4 linked regions of the Caenorhabditis elegans genome follow. The protein of the gene in region 1 purifies or fractionates together with the protein of each later gene. This does not show direct contact. Each region holds a gene or a part of one and is shown on either strand. Other genes may lie near its edges.

Region 1 (6,600 bases):
CACAAGATTCTGTATTTGCAGATTTCCACAGCTACAGTAACCCGGAGAAAGAAAACTCAAAAAGTGAAGCTTTTCGACTTAAACTCTCAAGTTCACTTTATTTTTTTGAGAGAGCTTCCGCGAATGCGAATTAACCACCTCAACAGCTGCTCAACGGAAAGTTTAAAGCTTGATGTTCGTCATAATAATGAGCAACAGCTGTGCGGAGAGCACAAATCAGAGGGAAAAACCGAAAATTCGAAAAATTCCAAGACTCCATATCAAACGAGTTGATAGAAGAAGTCGGTGGGAAAATATTCGAACGAAAAGTAGGGGAAAATGATGGAAAAATAATATGTTTACTTTTCGCCTCTGCGCCATTTTCCATCAAAAAATGGCTTTGCTGAACCATTAAATGGCAGGAGAGAGAGCAGGGGGAGAAAAGAGAGCAGCAGCAAACAGAAACCCGAGAATTCAAGAGTCTCTAGGTTCCCAATTTCATTTTGTGAGAAGAGTTCAGCAGAAGAAATACATGATCAGCTGGTGGTGCTAATTAGAAGGACGGGGTACTCTCTCTCTGTGAGGTGTCACTTTTAGTTGGAAATTTCCAACAAAAAAACTGACAAGGGAAAGGACAAACTTCTATCAAAATTCAGTGACATTTGATTTATATGAAAATCGAGTTATTTTCTAGTTTAAAAAAATTGGGAGAACGCTCCAAATTCAACTTTCAGACAATTTTTGAGCGTTCTCCCTATTGTTTTAACTAGAAGAAACGGCAATTTTCAAATGAATCCTATGTTTTTTCTATAATCTATCACTGAATTCTAATGAAAAATATTGTAGAATTTCTGGCCGGCAATTGCCAAAAACCGAGTTTTATGGGTTGGGCACACTGTAATTGGCCTGTAATTTGGGTGAGAATTTCACAATTTTTTGTTGATGCACCGGAAGGAGAATGATTCACACTTTACTGATGGACTGTACATCTGATCATCACTTGGAGAGACCGAAATGTTCACTTTTTTTGTGTTTTTTGTTCGATTGCACCATGTGTTTTCCAATAAAAATTAGTGTAAAAATATGGAAAAATCAAGTAATTTTCTATATTTTGACACTAATTTTTAGTCTAACAACATGGTGCAATCGACCAATTTCATCAATTTTCCACGTTTCTCCCCCACCAGATACGCCGTTCAATCGATTTCCCATAGCCCTCTCAAATGACCTTAACCTAGTCTCCGTTTCTTCTATATCAATATTCGAAATCTCTGATTCCCGTGGAAAAATCTTTATCTATCTATCTTCTCCTAGATGTATACATGTTTCTGTATGGTCAAGTCCTCCACTTTTTGTTGGATTTTTGGGATTTGAACAGCTTTTTGCTTTGAATTTTTTGTCTTGTAGGCTAAAAAATCTTGAAAATTTATAAAATTGAAATACCATTTTTGATAGTTAATTGAAATAAGTCAAAAAAAAATATTTTTTCCGAAATTTTTACCCAAAAGCTTTGCCAAACGTTTTATTGTGCTATTTTTCAAAATTTTAGCCTTCAAAACGAAATTTTTTCAAACTAATACTAGTGAAAAAGGAGAATTTTGCAATTTTTGTTGTCGAAATCCCGCATTTTATTACTCATTTGCGAAATTTTGCGCTAAAACTACGGTACCTGGTTTCGACACGACAATTGTTAAATACAAACGGATATGCGCCTTTAAAGAGTAGTGTAGTTTTCAACTTTTGTTGTTGCGGATTTTTTCAAAATCGATTTTTCATTGTTTTTTTCTTTGAAAATATATATCAAAAATTATGAAAAATCGATTTAAAAATAATACCACAGCAACGAAAGTTTAGAAAATACAGTACTTTTTAAAGGCGCACACTCGTCTGTAGCTTACAAAAAAAATTGTCGTTTCGAGACCGGGTACCGTATTTCTTGCGCGACGAAATTACTCGATAATTCTCAACTGAATTCCAGGATGGTCTATACCCCGAAAAACGTGGTTATCACCGGCGGATGTGGCTTCATCGGTTCGAACTTTGTCAACTACATTCACGATGCTTGGCCGACGTGTAATTTTGTGAACATCGACAAGCTCATTCTGAACAGTGACACTCAGAATGTGGCAGAGTCGGTGAGAAATTCCCCACGGTACAAGTTGGTACTCACTGATATCAAGAATGAGGCGGCGATTCTCAACGTTTTTGAGCAGAATGAGGTATGGATTGGAGAGCTTCTTCTAAATGAGACCTGTGCTCATTTGAAAGAGCACATTTTGGATAGGTCACTATAAAAAATTTAGCAAGCACTTTGAACTAGAAAAATGTCTCCAGATGTGGATTTTTGCCAGCTTTTGATGATTTTCAGAGTTTAGAGGTGGACAAACATTCTGAAAGCTTTTTGGAATTTTTAAGAAATTTCCAAAAAGTATTCAGAACGTTTACCTACCTCTAAACAGCCAAAAAATCATCGAAAGCTGGCAAAAATCCACAGTTGGAGAAATTTTTTTTCTAGTTCAAGGTGCTCCCCAGCTCCTAAATTTTTTGTAGTTACCAATCTAAACGATCCTATTTCATATGACACAATGACCATCTTTAAATGCTAAAATTCAGATCGATACCGTAATCCATTTCGCCGCTGACTGTACTTCTACTCGGTGCTACAATGAGACCGCTGAAGCCGTTCAGAACAATGTTCTATCGTTCATCCAATTCTTGGAAACTGTTAGAACCTACGGAAAGATCAAACGATTCGTTCACATCAGTACAGACGAGGTTTACGGGGACTCTGATCTCTCGGAGAATGAACAAGGAAAAGTGGAATTCTCTCGACTTGTTCCAGGAAATCCGTATGCTGCCACTAAAATCGCCGGAGAGGCCTACGTCCGTGCCTACCAAACTCAGTACAACCTTCCAATTGTGACTGCCCGGATGAACAATATCTATGGGCCAAACCAGTGGGATGTCAAGGTGGTTCCAAGATTTATTGAGATTGCAAAGGTCCGTGGGGAATACACAATTCAAGGAAGCGGCAAGCAACTTCGCTCTTGGCTTTTTGTGGACGATGCTAGTGCAGGATTGAAGGCAGTTTGTGAGAAAGGAGAACTCCACGAGATTTACAATTTGGGGACTTATTACGAGAAAAATGTTGCTGATCTAGCGAAAACGATTCAAGAAGAAGTTGATCTACAACTCGGAAGAGCCCACGAGCCACCAAAATACAAATCGATTCCCGATCGTCCGTACAATGATCTTCGCTATTTGATAAGTATCGAGAAGGCGAAAAATGATCTCGGCTGGGAGCCAACGACCTCGTTTGATGATGGAATGCGTCACACTGTTGCGTCGGCACTTAAGGAACATAAACATGTGAAGATGCACGTGGCAATCTATGGAGGAAAGGGATATGTTGGTCAGGAGTTGCAGCACGTGCTCAATGATAGACACATTCCATACGTGTTGGCAACGAAAAAAGTCGGATTTGATAGTGATGAAGAGGTAGGAGGAGAGGATGGAAAAATGTGGTTTTGCTGAATTGAAAATTTCCGGCAAATCGGCAAAACTGAACATTTCCGGCAAAACGGCAAATTGTCAAAATTGAAAATTTCCGGCAAATCCGCAATATGCCGAAATTGGAAAACGCCGGCAAAACGCAAAAGCCAAAATTGAAAACTTCCGGCAAAATGGCAAGTTGCCAAATTTGAAAATTTCCGGCAAGACGGCAATATGCCAAAATTAAAAAATTCCGGCAAAACGGCAAATTGCCAAAATTTAAAAAATCCGGCAGAACGGCAAACTTCCGGGAAAACGGCAAATTGCCAAATATGGAAATTTCCGGGAAAACGGCAAATTGCCAAAATTAAAAAATTCCGGCAAATCGGCAAAATGGCAAATTAAAAAATTCCGGGAAAACGGCAATTTTTTTTTCGAGCGTTAAACTACCATAAAATGGAAAATATTAAACTTTTCCAGGTTGAAAGAGAACTTGCCCTTCTTGGAGTGACCCACGTGATCTGCGTGACTGGAAGAACCCATGGGCCCGGCTGCAATACTATTGAATACCTCGAGGGTAGAGCTGATAAGGTTTTCATTAACGTCAGGGATAATATGTATAGGTAGGTGGTCGAGAAAACTGATAGTAGGCACCTGTGCCGGTAATGAAAAGTACCGGCAAATCGGCAAACCGGCAATTTGCTGAGAATGCAAATTCCCGGCAAATCGGCAATTTGCTGGAATCGAAAATTACCGGCAAATTCGCTTTTTTCCAGCGCAACAATTTTGGCGCACATGTGTCGAAAATTGGGGCTGCACTATACGTACATTGGCACTGGTTACATGTTTGCTTATGATAAGGAACACCCGATTGGAGGCGCTGAGTTCAAAGAGGAAGGTTTGTGGGAAAAATATAATTTTTATAGTTTTAAAGGAGAATGCCGCAATTGAAAATTTCTGGCAAATCGGCACATTGCCGGAATTGAAAACTTCTGGCAAACCGTCAATTTGCCGGAATCGAAAATTACCGGCAAATCGGCAAATTGCCGGAATTTAAAATTACCGGCTAATCGGCAAATTGCCGGAATCGAAAACTTCTGGCAAATCGTCAAATTGTCGGAGTTAAAACTTCTGGCAAATCGGCAAATTGCCGGAATTGAAAATTTCTGGCAAATCGGTGAATCGACAAACCGGCAATTTGCCGGAATCGAAAATTTCTGGCAAATCGTCAAACTGTCGGAATTGAAAATTTCTGGCAAATTGGCATATTGCCGAAAATGTTCGGCAAATTGTGGTTTTGAACTTTTTTTTTGGAAATTTCAAAATTTCCAGTTCAATCGGCAAAATTGTACGCATACTAGGAATGTTCCTACATCTATTTTGAAATTTTTGAAAAAAAAATTCCGGCAAATTGGCAAACCGGAAATTTGCAGAGGATCAAAATTTCCGGCAAATCGGCAAACTGCCGGAATTGAAAATATCTGGCAAATCGCCAAACCGGAAATTTGCCGGAAATTTTTCAAATTCCGGCAAATCGGCAATATGCCGGAATCGAAAATTTCCTGCAGATCGGCAAACTGGCAAATTGGCAAACCGGCAATTGCCGCCAAACCCCTGATTACGACCAAATTTCTGTCATTCCCAGCAATTTTTGACTCTCCTCCACCAAAAATCTTTGCGGAAAAATGTTGCTTTCAGACGAGCCGACATTCTTTGGTTCCGCTTATTCTGTTGTCAAAGGATTCACCGACAGACAAATGAACTATTTCAATCAAAATGTGAGTTGAAAAAGTGAAAAAGTGTTAGATAAGAATTATTTCATAAATTCTTTTTTTTTTTTGAAGGGCTGGGAAAACCTCAATGTACGAATAACGCTTCCACTCAGTTTGGACTTGGAACAACCACGAAACTTGTTATCAAAAATCATCAAATACAAGGAATTATTTGATATTCCAGTGTCACTGACCATCCTTCCAGATTGTATGAATGCAATGTGCAATTTGATGGAACAACGAAGCGGTGGAACTCTGAACTTGGTCAATCCGGAGCCAATTAGTCTTTACGAAGTTGTGAAGATTTATAAGGAGATTGTCGACGAGACTGTCAATCCTACATCAATTGGAGTGGAAACTGAACGTGCTCAACATCTTCTGGCAACCAAGGGAAATTGCGCATTGGACACTGAAAAACTGCAGTCCTTGGCGCCGGTTTTGTCGGCGAAACAAAGTCTTATTAAGCACTTCAGCGAAATGACTAGTGCTGCTAAATAATATAATTTATAACAATTTTTTTGGAATGTTTTTTTTAAATTTAACTAATGAACGATTTAAAGGTGGAGAAAAATGCTTATTTTAAGCTGAAATATTCAAAATTTGCTAATTTTCGTTTTTATTTGATTATCATCCTTATATAAATATTTCGGTAATTTTCGAAATTTATTGCGTGTTTTTTCCGTCGATCGAGCAAAATTGAACTTGAATCAGCGAATAAACGCGTAAAAACTGCTTAAATATGGATTAAAAAGTGATAATTGAATAAAAATTGAGATTTTAAATAGCTGAAAAAGAATAAAGCCTGAGGCGTCTAGAGGAAAACACGAGGAAAAAACAAGGAAAAACCGAGCAAAATCGAGATGAAAGGAATCGAAAAAGAAATCGGCGCTAAATTTCAAGAGGAAAACACAAAAAAAACACAAAAATATTGTTTGTTTTGGACTAACAGGTGCAAATAGAAAAAAAAACGAAGAAAAATAAATAAAACCAAGAAAAAAGTGGTGTAGATTTACGGCGCGATTGCCTAGAATCCGACACGCTGCGTACTCCGCTCGGAGAAGGTCTCGCAGGGAAGAGACGACGCGGGGGAGATTTACGATATTTTTTTCGATGATGTGCGAATTTGTTTTCGTTTGTTTTGACTGTTTCTCTGTGTTTTTTGCAGATATTTTCCATATTTTCGCACAATTTTTAAGTAAAGTTATATTTAAACCGTCAAATCCATGATTTTCACTCCAAAAATCCTAATAATTTCGTCATTTACAGAGAAAATGCTACGCACAGTGTCGCTGGCATGCTCAACGGCGAATTTGTGTAAGAACACCAAACCAGTCTGGACGCTGGCATCAGCCGCACG
Region 2 (4,351 bases), on another chromosome or scaffold:
TACGAGCATTCAACTAGATTCTTTCAATTTGTTCTATTTCTTTACACTTTTATAACAAAAGGCATGTAAAAAATTTAAATTTGAATCACCGCGATGACAAATTCCTTTTTTTTACTTTTTTTTACTTAATTTTGCTTATTTATTTTTGCTTATTTTTGGACTTCTCAATTGTTGATTCAAATTTCATAGCCAATTTTTTTAAATTGAATTTCCTTGTTGGGCCAGTAAGATCAACTTAATGCAAAACCCAAATAAATGATACTAAAAATATTTATTTCTTCAAACTTTGAAACAATTTGCACTCTTTATGAACCAAAAGTCAAGAATGTGGCAAACATTTGCGAGTGGAAGGCAGAGAATTCGATAAGAAGAAAACAAAAATGAGTTCTAGATCTGAACTGTTAGTTTTCACATCATTATTGTTTTTTAAACTTTTCAGATATAGTTTAATTGGAAAACTTATCATAAAATGTAAAAGTTTTCCAATTAAATTTAAAAACAATATATTCCAGTTGTTTTTTCCAAAAGCCGGAACATTTTCGGAACAAATTATTCCAATCGGATTATTTTCTATTTCATTTTCTTTTTTTTTTCTCCGAAACGTGAACTTTATGAAATCCCAATTCCACAACCCAAAGTACATATTTAACCTCCAACAAACAACACAATTCTGTTCCCTCTTTTTCACCCGTTTGCACTTTATTTCTTTTCACTCACCTCGAGTCACGTGATCTCCTTCTAAGAACTGAATTTCAAAAACACAAAATGTTGTTTTCATCCGTTTCTATTTCAGCCCTTTATGTTTTTATTGAACGGTGAAAAGATCGGATCATTTTTACACTGGCTACAATTTTATTTTTTCTCATTTGTTCGTGTATGTCATATACCTGCCTGCCTGCGTGCCTTCTTAGCCCCTCGATTCTACATTCTAACATAAAATGAGCTGGGTGGTGTACACACATGATAAATTTACGTTTATCTCCCTTTATCATTTAAATTGTTTTGTTAAAAGTTCAATTAAGAAATGGCAGGTATTTTTGTGCGTATTTGGAATAGTCATAAAGCATTTAACCAAACTTCTTTCCTGAAAATATTGTTCATTGTATATTTTCATATCTTTTATCCAAAACAACTAAATGCTCAAAAATCGCACATCTGGTTATCACGTGCGGTTAGGAAAAATAGAAATCAAATATTTAGAGTACCCAAGTTTTTTTCCAAACAAAATCTATTTTTATCGTGGTCATTTGCAAACAATTCTACACTTTGTTCACTAGACTTGAGACCAACTGTTTTTTTTCTGTTTTTTGTCCGCTGATGCTCCAATTGCTCTACCACGTGTCTGTGCTCCTATCAACTCATTGGTACCTCCCTTGATGTTTACACAAATATCTTTTCTTTCTTCTCAACTCTATCATTATTGTCTGGCCAACGTGATTCGGCTGTTTTTTTTTTTCGTGCCTAATTATTTTAAAAAAAACTTTTCTACAAAATAAGAATTTTCAGAAATCTTAAAAGCGTCCCGAAGTAGTTCAAGTTGTTTTAGTACTGGAGCTCATTAAGGTTTAGAAAAATCATAAGCTTCTGTTTTTTTTTCGCTTTTTTGTCGAAAAATTTTAAAATAATTGCTGAATTTTCATGAATTTTGCAGACTTCAAGTTTCAAAATGCCGAACCGAAAAGTGGTCAAATTCTTCTTCGATGTCATTTCTCCGTACAGTTACTTTGGATTCGAAGGAATCACTCGTCATCGTTCCGTTTGGAAGACTCCAATTCAGATGAAACCATTCTTTTTTGCTGGTGTTGTCAGACATACTGGTGAGTTTTTGTATTTTTGTCTTGAAATTTCTCTAATATCCGTAAAAAAATGGAATTAGCTTTTTTAAAGTAAGGTTTTTAAACCATGACCCTCTAACAATTCCGTTTGAAATGTCAAAATAAAAGCTTTCAATTTACTTCTGGAAAAGGACATGCAAAACCTTAAGAAGCCTGTATGTTATTATTTTCTAAAAAATGCACCTCTATCTATTTATATCATAAGGTCGGCTACTTCTACTTCTTAAAATCTGCTTTAATCTGACGAAGGGCACTAGAATAGATAAATACACTTAAATAGTTCAACAATAGTTCAACATTATAATAGTTGAACATGACATATATTAACATAATAAGACAATCCAAAAATTTCAGGATTTTTCAAAATGATCAGTGAACGTTTTGATAAGTTGCCAAATGTCCCTAAAAGGACTATTTGAAAGCAATTTCGAGACATTTGGAAAAGTGATATTTGGTAATTTTATAAGTATAGGAGCATTGATAAATAACATAATTGTTTTGAAAATTTTTTTCGAATCGTGCTAATCATCAGAAAGTTGTTTGATATGTACCTTCTAAATCATATAACTGCAAGTTTTCAGAAAACCCCGGTCTCCCACTCCGTATTCCTATCAAAGAAAAGTACATGCACAAAGATTTGCTCTTCTCTGCCCAATATTGGGGAATTCCGTTCCGTCTTCCCAAGGACTACACAAATATGATGTTGAACACAAGTTCAATCGTTCCACAACGTATTCTTGTCGCTTCACAACTCCGTGATAATGTTTTGATGGAAGACGTTGCTCGTGGACTCTGGCATCGATTTTATGCATACGGAAAACCAATTTTCACAAAAAGTCAAGTTGCCGAAGTTTTGAGAGATTTGCATGTAAAAGATGTCGATGAGTTGGTGATGATGAGTGATTCGGCAGAAGTTAAGAACATTTTAAGAGAAAACACAGATGAAGCCATCGGGAATGGAGTAGGTCATTTATTATAGGAACCCAGAAAAACACGGAATCGACGAGAAAACACGCTCCACAACCAATTTAAAACGGTCCGCCCCCTAACGATGGGTCTCGTTAGGTATTTTCCGTTAAACTTGAACGTTTTTGATTAGGCTCGACAATTTTCTAGAATTAGTCTTTCTGTTATATTTTTCGAAGTGTTTAATGATTTCAACATCGAAATGATGTCTAAGAAAATTATGTGAATTTAGGGCGTTTTCACTTATCATAATAATTTTATTTCATCTATTTCAACCGAAAAAACATCAAAAACTACGAAAAATATAACAAAATAGACGACGAACGCAAAATTCCTAACGAGACCCATGGTTTAGGGGCGGAGCATTTTCAGTTGGCCCCGGAGCGCGCTTGCGCGTCGTTTTAAAATGTTTTTTTGCTGTTTTATAATATTCTCAATTGGGAATTAAAATTAATTTTTTTCAGTGTTTCGGAGCTCCGTGGATGCATATCACTGATGGTCACGGAAAAGTACTTCAAACAGTTTTCGGATCGGATCGCCTTCCACAGGTGGCCGATTTTCTTGCCGAGCCATTCAAGGGTCCAATGAGAGAGAAGAAGCCGAACGCATAAATTGTCAGATTAGCATTCTAAAAAGTGTCTAGAATTTTATCTGAGAAAGAATAACGATTAAAATTAATTCTTTCTTTTGTGTTGGCAAGAGAAATACAGAAAACGATGGAAAAAATGTGGAAACAAAAAGACTACTAATCTATTTCACACGAGTTTCAATTTGTTGCGGCAATTACAGAAAAAAAACGGAGCAAAAAAGAAAGAGCATAAGCTAACGAAAACTTGGGGTTGGTTGGGGGGACGAAGGGTGAGAGATCTGAGTATGTGTTAGTTTTGCGTGGCCTCTGATGATTAGCCGAATATAAATAAGGGAAAGCGTAAAGGTTTGATAAAAAGTAAAAGAGAAATTTCAAGAAACGAAAAATAATATTACCGGTACAGAGAGTGTAGATAGTTAGAGAGTGACAGACATCCGGGACCCAATGGGGCGGGGCGCGCGGAAGAGACGATTTGTGTCGATTTACGAAATTTTCCTCGTTGTCATTATTTCGTAAATCGACACAAATCGTCTCTTCCGCGCGCCCCGCCCCATTAGGTCCCGGATGTCTGTCACTCTCTAACTATCTACACTCTCTGTACCGGTAATAGAGAACAAATAACAATCTGATATTTTCTAATCAGCTTTTTGAACTTTTCTTCGTGCGGCGGCGGACCTCGTTGTGATGGATGGCTCAGCGATGTTAGCATTGATATCTTCTTTTGGCTCCAGAATTTCGAAATCAACAGGCTGAAAAACGAATTATTTTTTTCCAAAGATTTTTTAAAAATATGCTCATAAGTCAGAATTTTCCAAGTTTCCCAGCAAGGGTAACGGGTTTTCCATTTTTTACTGAAATCTAACAATCGAAATGTTTTTTCGATTTTTCTGATATTTCGAAAAAATTCGATTTTTTCCAAATAGAAAAGTTAAAATTGTGGTCATTTTTCTTCTTGGAAGAA
Region 3 (4,936 bases), on another chromosome or scaffold:
CTCTAAAGTATTTCGTCGCTTCCTTTCCCGATATAGTTACATGTTATGTCAATTAAGTGTATGTGTGTGTAAGATAGGAGACAGAAACAACACCAAAAATGAATTTCAGGTGATGGTTTTCTTTGTCATGCTGACTGAAAACGTGTCAATTGGAAAATGATGGGTCAGGAATCCTGCCTATCTTGATAAACCGGGTGGTGGTGTCATTGATTTATAAGGGTACGCGTGGAAGAACGCGGATAATGATGATGAAATGTAGACAGAGAATGATTCATTATCATATCTCTATTGATATCATATTAAAATAATGTTGCCACGTGGCACTATACTTACCTTACTTGTTTTTGCTCAAGCTTTACAAAAGTGAGCCCGGAAACAAAAAAAAGTGAAACAAAAATCGGGTGTTTTTTTCAGAAAATTTGAATTTCCCACTAAAAATTGTCTTTCTCACAAAGTTTGAATTTTCCGCCAAAAATATTTTTATCAGAAATTTGAATTTCGTGCCAAATTTTTACCTCAGAAAATTTAAGTTTTTCTGCCGAAAATTGTTCTCAAAAATTTTTTCCCGCTGAAAATTATTTTTCAAAAAATTTGAATTTCCCGCCAAAAAAATTTCTTTAAAATTTGAACTTCCCGCAAATTTGAAGAACGTTGAACAGTTAGTCCGTGTGATTTGATCTACTCGATCTCATTGATAAGATCATATACCAAAATACTATACATCTATATTCCGACTACAAACTCCCATGACACCTCACCATTCTTCTCACCCCTCCCCTCAAGCATCTTCCGATCTTCAAAGAGTTTCGTCGCCAAATTAGGGTCTCCACAGCAGCAGCATCTTTCAACGAAACGATGCCGACCCACGTGCGTTATCAGTTTCTTTTGACCACATTGCATCACTATTTGTGGTCTCCTCAATGTCACGTGTCCAACTTCCCCCGCCCCCAGCCCGCCCCTTTCGACGTCGACTCATTTCAGTTTGTCGACGACGACGAAATTCGTGACGATCCGAATTTTGCGTGAGGGTGCTATAAAAGTCGGCACTTGCATTATGTGCAGTAACACAGTGCCACTATAGTCTACTAGCACTCAGATGTTGTTTACAGTTTTTTCTTCTTCTTTCTCTCTTTCATTTTGGCGAGTTGTATCTCGGTTCATATTGTAGATATTTATAAATTTTAAACTACAAAGCTTTGTCAAATGAATTTTTTCATATGCTACATAGTTTTAAAGCTTTTATGTTACATTTGTTACTATACAGTACTATTTGTAAACTATATTTACCTAGTTTTAAAATATTTCCAAAAAAATTTTATTTCGATATTGTTTTTAGACAACCCTTATGCCACCCCAATTTTCAAGACATACAATGCCGGTTAAGGGATTTTCCAGAAAGAGTTTAAATTTCAAAACGTTTACTAACAAGATGTGGTGTATTTTTTCCGTTCATTAAGCGGCAGACGACTTGCGGGCCAATTTTTTTAACATTAAATCTGCAATTATCTGTAACTCAAGTTGATGTTTTTATATAGAACATTTGAACAAAAATTGAATTGCCGGAATGGAAATTTTCGGCAAACCGGCAATTTGACAGAATTTAGAACTTCCGTCAAAACAGCAAATTGCTAATTTGCCGCAAAAATGGTAATTACGGAATATTTTCGGCAAATTGTGGCTGTGCACATTTTTTTTTTGGAAATTTTAGATTATCAATTTTATCATTTTTAAATCGGCAAAGATTATCAATTTAATTCTGCATAATTGTACGTATCCTATGAATGCTCCTACATCTATTTTAAAAAGCAAAAAATTTCCATGAAAAGATTTCGAAAAAACGGGCAAAAAATTTCCAAAAAGGCTTAGTTTCCGTCTTATAAAACATCCCTTTAAAAACTTCAGGCAAATTGTTATTCGGCAATTTGTCAAAAATCAAAGTTTCCGGCAAGTCCACAAACCGACAATTTGCCGAATTTTTTCGAAAAAAAAATTTGCCGAACTGCAATTGCTGCCCACCCCCCTGGACTTTTTTCTTCCTTTTTTATCCTTAAACTCTATAAATTCCAGAAAACTCAAAACTTCAATCAAAATGACTACATTCGACAAAGGAGCAAAACCAGATATCGGCACTTTTGTTGCATTCGACCATGTTAGATTTGTAGTCGGAAATGCTAAACAAGCTGCCTACTGGTATTGTGCAAACTTTGGCTTTGAGCCATTTGCCTATAAGGGGCTCGAGACAGGATCTAGAATTACTGCTCAACACGCTATTCGACAAGACAAAATCGTGTTCATTTTCGAGTCAGCATTGTTGCCTGATAATTCAGAACTCGGAAATCACCTTGTTCAACATGGAGATGGAGTTAAGGATGTGTGCTTTGAGGTTGAGGATCTTGATTCGATTATTGCACACGCAAAAGCTGCAGGAGCAACTATTGTGCATGATATTACTGAAGAGTCAGATGCTGATGGATCCATTCGATATGCTACGCTTAGAACGGTAAGAGACTTAAAAATAAAAATATCTTCAAAAATTCCGAAGTTGTTAAATTGCACTGAAGATTGACCAGGAAAATTTGGTGGAATTAAAAAATTTTTGAGAAAAAATTTTGACGAGAAATGCAAATTTCTAATAATCCAAACAATGAAATATTATTTTTAGTATGGAGAAACCGACCACACCTTGCTGGAACGTAAAAATTATCGTGGAGCATTCCTGCCCGGCTTCAAGGCTCATCCAATGCCAGCCACATTCTTCAAGACTCTTCCACGCGTTGGATTGAACTTCCTCGATCATTGTGTCGGTAATCAGCCAGACTTGCAAATGGACTCAGCTGTTCAGTGGTACGAGAAGGTGCTGAAATTCCATCGATTCTGGTCTGTTGATGATTCCATGATTCATACCGAGTACTCGGCTCTTCGTTCCATTGTTGTAACGAATTTCGAGGAGACTATTAAGGTTAGTTAATATAAAGAGATCGATGGAGTGCGGCTGTCCTGTGAGATGTCGGCTGCTAGTTTTTATTGTAAAGAAACAGCAGCCGACAAATCGCGGGTTTTAAAAAGACGCACGACCTTTTTTAATTCAAAAAATTATAGCAAGATTTCTTGTGGAAAATACATATTAGTAATTTTCAACAAAAAAAAATCAAGATATCGATTTGGTAAATACGGTGTCCTATGAGATGTCGGTTGCTAGTTAGTCTTTATAATCAATAGAAAAATAACAGCAGCCGACATATCGCGGGTTTTAATTTTTTTTTCTTGTGGAACAATTGTGTACTCTACGTGGGAAATGAATAATTGTAATTTTCGTGTAGTCCTCCAGGGCATTTTGAATATGGAATACTGAGTATCTAAACATTTTCAACATCTATTTCAGAAACCATTTTTTAATTTGAATACGACGAATGTTTTAAATATTCGATTTTTGGGAAAATAATTGAATTTTCAAATAATTGTGTTTTTTTTTCTGGCTCTCCAGAAAATTGACAAAATAATTTAAATTATTTTCTGAAAAACACTGAATAACATAGAAAATGCTTAAACTTTTAATACAAAAATTTTGCAGATGCCAATCAACGAGCCAGCCACATCGGACAAAAAGGCAATCTCCCAAATCCAGGAATACGTGGATTATTACGGAGGATCCGGTGTTCAACACATCGCACTCAACACATCCGACATCATTACTGCAATTGAAGCTCTTCGAGCCCGTGGCTGTGAATTCCTTTCCATTCCATCAAGCTACTACGATAACCTCAAGGAACGTCTCGCGGCTTCTTCAATGGTAGTTAAGGAGGATATGGATCGTCTTCAGAAGTTGCACATTTTGGTGGATTTCGATGAGAATGGGTATTTGCTCCAAATCTTCAGTAAGCCATGCCAGGACCGTCCGACACTATTCTTGGAGATTATTCAGCGACAGAATCATGAAGGATTCGGAGCCGGTAACTTTAAGGCTCTTTTCGAGTCTATTGAATTGGAACAGACAAAGAGAGGCAACTTGTTCTATGATAATGTTAAGGATGGAAATACTAAGTAACTTATATTTTTTTTATTTTGCAACGACACTTCGTTGCCAAGACCCAAAGTGAATTCCATGTGCCATGAGATTGTATTATAGTTCCCCCTAACAAAGATACCCATTCCCACAACGGTTTCCTGTTTTTTCTATTGATTCTTGTTGCATTTATATTGAGAGAATAAAGATTTTATGAAAGAATTGTTGAGTCTTAATATCAAAACAAATGTGGAACCCGTGGGTCGTCGGCCGCTGCTTTTTAACACATGCGGCGAGGTGACGCCATGAGGCAGGCGCAGGCACCGTTACGGCGACCTCATGAGAGCCCTAAATTTTGCATATAAATGGTCGGCTTTAGTCAATCTCAATTTGTGCACTAAAACTTATGACTGAAAATCCACTTTTTCTGCTTGAACTTAGCGGATATGAAACTTTTTTTATTTGGTTTTTTTTACATTCTGAATGAACACAAAATTTGCAACAGAATGGCTACGGGGATGTTTGAAAAAGTTAGTTTGAAGCCAGATATTAATTTTTAAAAATTGGAAACGTCTTTCCTGATAATTCAAAATACTCATCGAACCATTTAACAATCTCAAACTCTGCCACGTGTTTATTGTTCTCGACAAAGAAATGGAAGGGGAAAAGGGGGTTCTGAGGAATGGTCTGGGGAATGGGAAAGGGCAAATAATATAGAGAAAAAAAACGGAAAGTGTCGTACCCAAATATGTGCACAAAAAAATTAAGGTTTCCTTTTGAAATTGTTGTTGTGTTTTTCAGAGTATTTCAACTGTTGATGGATTTCAGTTCGACCAAAAAATTGATGATGATGCTCTCTGTAGATGTTCTACCACGTGTAAATTAGTCGGTTTGGGCCATATCTGCGAAAAAAATATTTTTTTAAATGAAAGA
Region 4 (5,655 bases), 2.0 Mb from region 1:
GATGTTTCTCTTTGCTGTGTTATGTGAAATAAGAACACTCCCTGATCCACTGGCTGGAAATTGGCATTCGAATACCGTATCATTTCCCTGAAACCCAATTTAGATGAAAACGGCTACGAGGTAGATTTGCTATGAGCGAGCTCCATAACAGTCATACTTTTAAGCTAATCGTTTTTCTGTTATCCTGGGATGATGATTATAGGCGCTCTAGAAAATTAAAAAAAAACTGTATTGCTAGCCGATAAAAATGAGGAGTTTGGCAGTTAAGAACAGGACTGGAACATGATAAGTCTTACACACGATTTTTTAAAATTTGAATGCTTTCACAATTAGCAACATTTAGAGACAAGAATAAAGCAACATTTCAAAACTTCCAAACAAGCCTACCATCAAACCATCTTTTGAAAATCCGAAACCGAGCCACATATCAGGCTTCACCAGTTTACTTTCAATTTCAATAATCAAATGTCTTCTTTCATGTTTCCACGTCATCATTGTCTGACAGTCACTGGCATCTTTACATCCATTTGGTAGTTTCCAACAACCTCTTGCAGTTCCACAGTCACTGATATGAGTTACGTGGAAACTAGTGACGTGGCATATGAATAAAATGAAAAAAATGAATAGAATCATCATAAGTTTGAATCAACATTGATCATATCAGAGGGGCCATTTATAGGTGTGTTTTAAGCTGGAAAGTCTAGAAATAACAACGGACATTGTTCTTCTTTTCCAAGAAGTGATGATAAAACTGGTTTCTATTTAATGATTCTCGCTTCCAAAACACAATTATTTATTTGTTAGAACACATTATACAAAAAGGAAATTAAATTGGAAACGGTCATTCATCAATCACTTTTGCTCTTCTGGCTCATCATCTTTGCATTGTGTAGCCAAGAAATCACGGACTCCCTTACTGATTCCACCAGTTGCTTCTTCGTGTTTCGCGAAGATTTCCAGATGAGCTTTTCCTTTCCACACAAGTCCACATCGGAAATTGTCATCGTTCTTAGTCAAGAATTTGTAAACTTTGTCAAGACAGTCGTGAACTTTGCACAAAGAGACCAACGGAAGGGGCTTCATCATTTTAGAGACATCTTGCAAAGTGTAAATAGCTGGCTTTCCGAAATCTCCGTTTCCTTTGAACCAACCAAGAAGCTCCTGCAATTAGATAATTTTTTTGATGGGTGGAAAATGTAAAATTATTGATCTGATGAGTTTTATTTTTTGCGCAATTTCGTAGGCCCATAACTATTTTATATTGAGAAAATCTCTCTCAAAAAACGCTGTTCATTATGCGCTCAAAAAATAATAAAATGGTAAAAGTTGTGGCAGAAGTTGCAAAAAGCGTGGATAAACCTTTTTTGTCCAAGTTGGAAGCATCTGTTGGAAATATCGTACCAAAATCTATCTACATATACTTGGACAAGACATTGACAAGATGTTCATAATTCTGTCTAAGTTACAGTCGAGTATAAAAATCTTTTTTCAAAATATTTCATAAACTTACATGGTTAGCATTAGTGAAGAACAACTGAGCCCACGTGAAAAATGGGAATCCAGCTCCTTGTGGGTATGTTGTGAGTACTTGAAGTGGAACATCATGTGGTACTTCTCCATAATTCACTACTTCAATATCCGGGTTCATATCACTTTTCTTTTTCTCTGGCAGAACTTCAGATTTATCTACTGGGACTCTAAAATAATTTAATTTTTTGTTTACTATTACAAAAAAAAACATACGGAGTGGCTTTGACAGCTGCATAATCAGCACAGTCAACTTCATATCTAACAAGAATTCGGAATTGCCCATATTGATATGAAACAAGTTGGAAGAATGGACCCGTTGAATGAGCACCACGGGGGCGAGTCATTCGATGTTTCAGATTTTGATCAAAAGTTACATGTCCGATTTCCATTAAATCAGAAGCTTCCATTCTGAAATACAATTATTGGTTTGTTTTGAGTAAATAAGAATACCGAAAAGTTTAGAAGTTTTGCTTTGAGAAGGGCTGACAAGGCAGATGTTCACTTTTTGGTGCGAATTTTTCAAGAATTTATTTCAAGTTCTAAACTTTTCTGAATTTTGAAAAATCCAGTTACTAAGCATCACGAAAACTATAAAAACTTTTTAAAAACAAAAAAGTTTTTAATAAACAGATAAAACTAAATTTTCTCGTTTTCAGTTTGCATGCCTACCGTATATCCTCTATTAGTTTTGCACCCCTTTGCTCAACTTTGACAGCTCATATCTCATTTTGTTTTGAACATATAAATAATTAACAAACTACATACTATAGAAAACCACCTAACAAATATTTTATCAGTTGACAACTTTTCTATAGAACAAACGACTACTGAGATATGAGCTGCCAAAGTTGAGCCAAGGGGTGCAAAACTAATAGAGGATATACGGTACCTTATTTTTATTTATTACCTATACATAGGTATATATACTACCTATTTATTTTTACCTAGTGAGCAGAACAGTCTTTCCAACGCGTTCACAATCGATTCGGAACAATCCTTCTCCGGCTTCATTACAGAATGCAAAAATCTTTTGCAAATTGATAGCATCCGTGATAAAATGGAATTGAGAGAAATCGATTGGTTTCTTCTTTTTCTCACTGAGCAAACGTGCCGCAATAATGATGGCATCCAAAGATCCTTCCCGTACCTGTAATTATATTGATTTCCAAATCAGCACATTGCTTGTAAAAATGGATTGATTTTTGTTTTCCAAATAAAAAAATCTACACGCTTCTCGTGCTTCAACTCGTGTTTCAGTCAACAACTTATGAACTCACTTTCAAATGATTGACGTCATAAATAATCACTCCATGATCTTGCATCAACTTGCCACCTGGCCAATAGAATGATTCAACAGGTGCTCCTGGAACAAGAATAGTTGCTGTCTCATCATTGAGATACCATTGATACGATCCAATACGGTCTACATATTTTGTACTTGTTGGTCCTCCCTGTAAAATTGATTTTTATTAACGAAAACAGTAGATGATTCGCTCTCACGTTTACTGTAATCTCACATTTACTTTCATACATTTTTTCCACAAAATCTTCAGCAAATCATTTAATTTTTAATGGATCTTTATACAACAAAAAAATTTCCATATATTTTTAAAAAACTTCCATATATTTCTAATTATAATATTTTCATAAGACATTTAAAATTTTAAGCTAGGAAACTTAAAAATTCTAATTTTTGTAGCAAAAAATCTAGAAGACAACTTTTAAACTAATACAATAAAATATCAAGAAGTTTTACCATGTTGGTTGGTCATAAGTGAATGCTCGGCATCTTCTCAATTGTGAAATTCATTAATAAGTAAAGAAATACAATAGCTAGAAAAACATTCTCCAACCAAAAAAAAAGTCCTACATCGATATTTAATAACTACTCACCTTTCCAGATAAATTGTTTAATGGAAGAAGACCGTATGGTTCTTCTTCAAGACCTTCAAACAACCAGAATCCGTCGGCAGACATATCGAACAGCGGCTATACGGCGATCTGTCCAGCGACGTGTTGTGTTTTAAAGAGAGGCCATTCTTCAGCACAACGGATCCCTACGAAAGAGAGAGAGAGAGCACATGAGGGGGTGTTCGGGAACAAAAAATAGTCTATGAAGACAGAGACTCAGATAAGATTACAATGCGGGGGAGCAGGAGCTCCCGTCCAATCTCATCGACAAAGTTTCGAAACACCGATGATGATGACGGGATCCCAATATCTCGGAGAAAATAAAGACAATGAAAAGATTTCGTATAGATTTGGAGGACACACGCACACATCGATTGACCATCACCTGGAGTGGGAGCATTGGGCTACGTTTTTGTGATAACGAATAATTTAAAATGTTGAGAATAAGTATTTCAGCGTTCGCTTAATTTATAATTTTCTAAAGACAGAAATCTGTATCACGAGGCTGTAGAATGACAAATATTTTATTTGAAAGCTCATAATGATAAATTTTAGACAGAACGATTTCCCAACCAGTTAGATTTCAAACCTCAAAAAGATTAGCAAATAAAAATTCGAGCAACATTAAACAAAAACTTGGGAACTTTTTTATTCAAAACGCTTCCATACTGTTCACAAAGGATGAATAAATATAAATTTCTGTAGACTGTTAATTCCCTTCAAAATATGCTAAATAATGTTGATTGGATATTTAAAAAAGAGACTCTGAAGAATATCGATGTTTGTGATCAATTGGATATCGAGGAGTATCAATTTCCAGAAGATTGTGCCAACAAAGGATCAAATAGAAGCTTTAGGGTTAGAATTGGGCAAACGCTGTCATCCAGAAAATTGGCCACTTGTGGCGTCCCACAAGGCGCAGTTCTGTCACCACTTTTGTTTGGTATCTATGTTAATGATATATCATCAATATTACCCGAAAAAGTAGCATGTAAACAGTTTGCAGATGACACGAAATTGTATGTATCGACCCCTAAGACTGAAAGCGAAAACAATTTACAGTCTGCTCTAGATGCTGTAGTAGATTGGACAAGGGGATCAAAACTCACTCTAAACCAATCAAAGACAGTTCACGTCACTGTAGAAAAACGTAGAATAGATTTCAAATACCACCTAGACGGTTACCCTATTGAACGAAAAGCTATTACCAGAGACCTTGGATTTTTATTCTCTGAAAAGCTGGATTTCTCTGAGCATTGGAAGAAATGTATCAATCTAGCTAAATTTCAACTGGCCAACATGTTCAACCAGTACAGTACCTCCAATAAGAAACTAATGATTCTCTTATACAAAACTTTCATCCGCCCTCGTTTAGAATATGGAACAGTAGTGTCTTCTCCGACAAAAAAATCGGATGAGAAAGCAATAGAGTCTGTACAAAACGCATTTTCTAGGCGCCTTTATAGTAGAATCAAAAAAAGATATATTAATCCAACTGATAAAGATTACAAAACTGCCATGGAACGTAACGAACTATTCGACCTCCAAACCTTAAGCACGAGACGTAAAATAATTGACAGAATCCAAGTAATCAGAATGAATACTGGTAAAGTAGACTTAAAAACATCTGAGTTTTTTGAGCAACAAGAGACCCACACTCGTTCTAAAAAGAAATATATCTGGAGCACAGGAAAATCTAAACTTAGGAGACACTTTTTTGTCAACAGAACACTACCCACAATGAAGCAACACTGATCTAATGTTACCTTATCCTCACTTCTATTCATCATTTATTCTTGCCTTTTATACATCGATATTTGTGTTTTTTGCTTCTTCTCCAATGTAGCCATTATTTTCTTCTCATCTCTTTTTTTATTTTTGTTTCGTTTTATTTATGTAATTTATTTATGTAACCACTTGTGATGGTTTGTATCTATTAATGTGTGTTTTTTTTCCTACCTCACGATATCTTCTATCGTAATAAATTAAATTAAATTAAATAAAATTGTCCAGATCCGGGCCTCCAGTTTGAAAAATCCTCTATTTTTAATCTCTCTAAAAATCCGTTATTTTTTGAGAAATGTTAGCTCAATACTGCCAAATTGTTTCTCGCGCTTGATAAGGTAGATCATTGTGTGAATTCTTAACTTTAACAAAAGAGAACTTCTTAATTCAAACTTCATTACTATAAAAATCTAATTTTTAAATAAATCA

What was found.
Region 2: the proteins of rml-4 (region 1) and gstk-2 fractionate together in Caenorhabditis elegans (co-fractionation; one large-scale study listed by BioGRID). This does not show direct contact.
Region 3: the proteins of rml-4 (region 1) and hpd-1 fractionate together in Caenorhabditis elegans (co-fractionation; one large-scale study listed by BioGRID). This does not show direct contact.
Region 4: the proteins of rml-4 (region 1) and C29F5.1 fractionate together in Caenorhabditis elegans (co-fractionation; one large-scale study listed by BioGRID). This does not show direct contact.

Annotation. Positions count from the first base shown.
Region 1 is NC_003280.10:4,293,144-4,299,743, forward strand, and holds rml-4 (dTDP-D-glucose 4,6-dehydratase), read left to right. Parts: upstream 1-1,957; 5' UTR 1,958-1,958; coding exon 1,959-2,198; exon of another isoform or gene 2,199-2,453; intron 2,454-2,592; coding exon 2,593-3,477; intron 3,478-3,951; coding exon 3,952-4,094; intron 4,095-4,247; coding exon 4,248-4,369; intron 4,370-5,169; coding exon 5,170-5,249; intron 5,250-5,315; coding exon 5,316-5,741; 3' UTR 5,742-5,807; downstream 5,808-6,600. Other genes in the region: sco-1 (Thioredoxin domain-containing protein), read left to right, coding at 6,515-6,600.
Region 2 is NC_003282.8:7,239,571-7,243,921, reverse strand, and holds gstk-2 (Glutathione s-transferase kappa 2), read left to right. Parts: upstream 1-1,651; 5' UTR 1,652-1,666; coding exon 1,667-1,817; intron 1,818-2,416; coding exon 2,417-2,796; intron 2,797-3,265; coding exon 3,266-3,412; 3' UTR 3,413-3,477; downstream 3,478-4,351. Other genes in the region: elo-3 (Putative fatty acid elongase 3), read right to left, coding at 4,026-4,139. UniProt on the Caenorhabditis elegans protein: Has roles in respiratory and lipid metabolism.
Region 3 is NC_003281.10:10,533,459-10,538,394, forward strand, and holds hpd-1 (4-hydroxyphenylpyruvate dioxygenase), read left to right. Parts: upstream 1-2,067; 5' UTR 2,068-2,089; coding exon 2,090-2,500; intron 2,501-2,662; coding exon 2,663-2,959; intron 2,960-3,571; coding exon 3,572-4,045; 3' UTR 4,046-4,225; downstream 4,226-4,936. Other genes in the region: nlp-68 (Neuropeptide-like protein 68), read right to left, coding at 4,872-4,905. UniProt on the Caenorhabditis elegans protein: Key enzyme in the degradation of tyrosine.
Region 4 is NC_003280.10:6,301,407-6,307,061, reverse strand, and holds C29F5.1 (START domain-containing protein), read right to left. Parts: upstream 3,538-5,655; 5' UTR 3,508-3,537; coding exon 3,424-3,507; intron 2,982-3,423; coding exon 2,808-2,981; intron 2,678-2,807; coding exon 2,475-2,677; intron 1,939-2,474; coding exon 1,744-1,938; intron 1,698-1,743; coding exon 1,511-1,697; intron 1,162-1,510; coding exon 853-1,161; 3' UTR 779-852; downstream 1-778. Other genes in the region: C29F5.8 (DOMON domain-containing protein), read right to left, coding at 1-87, 388-633.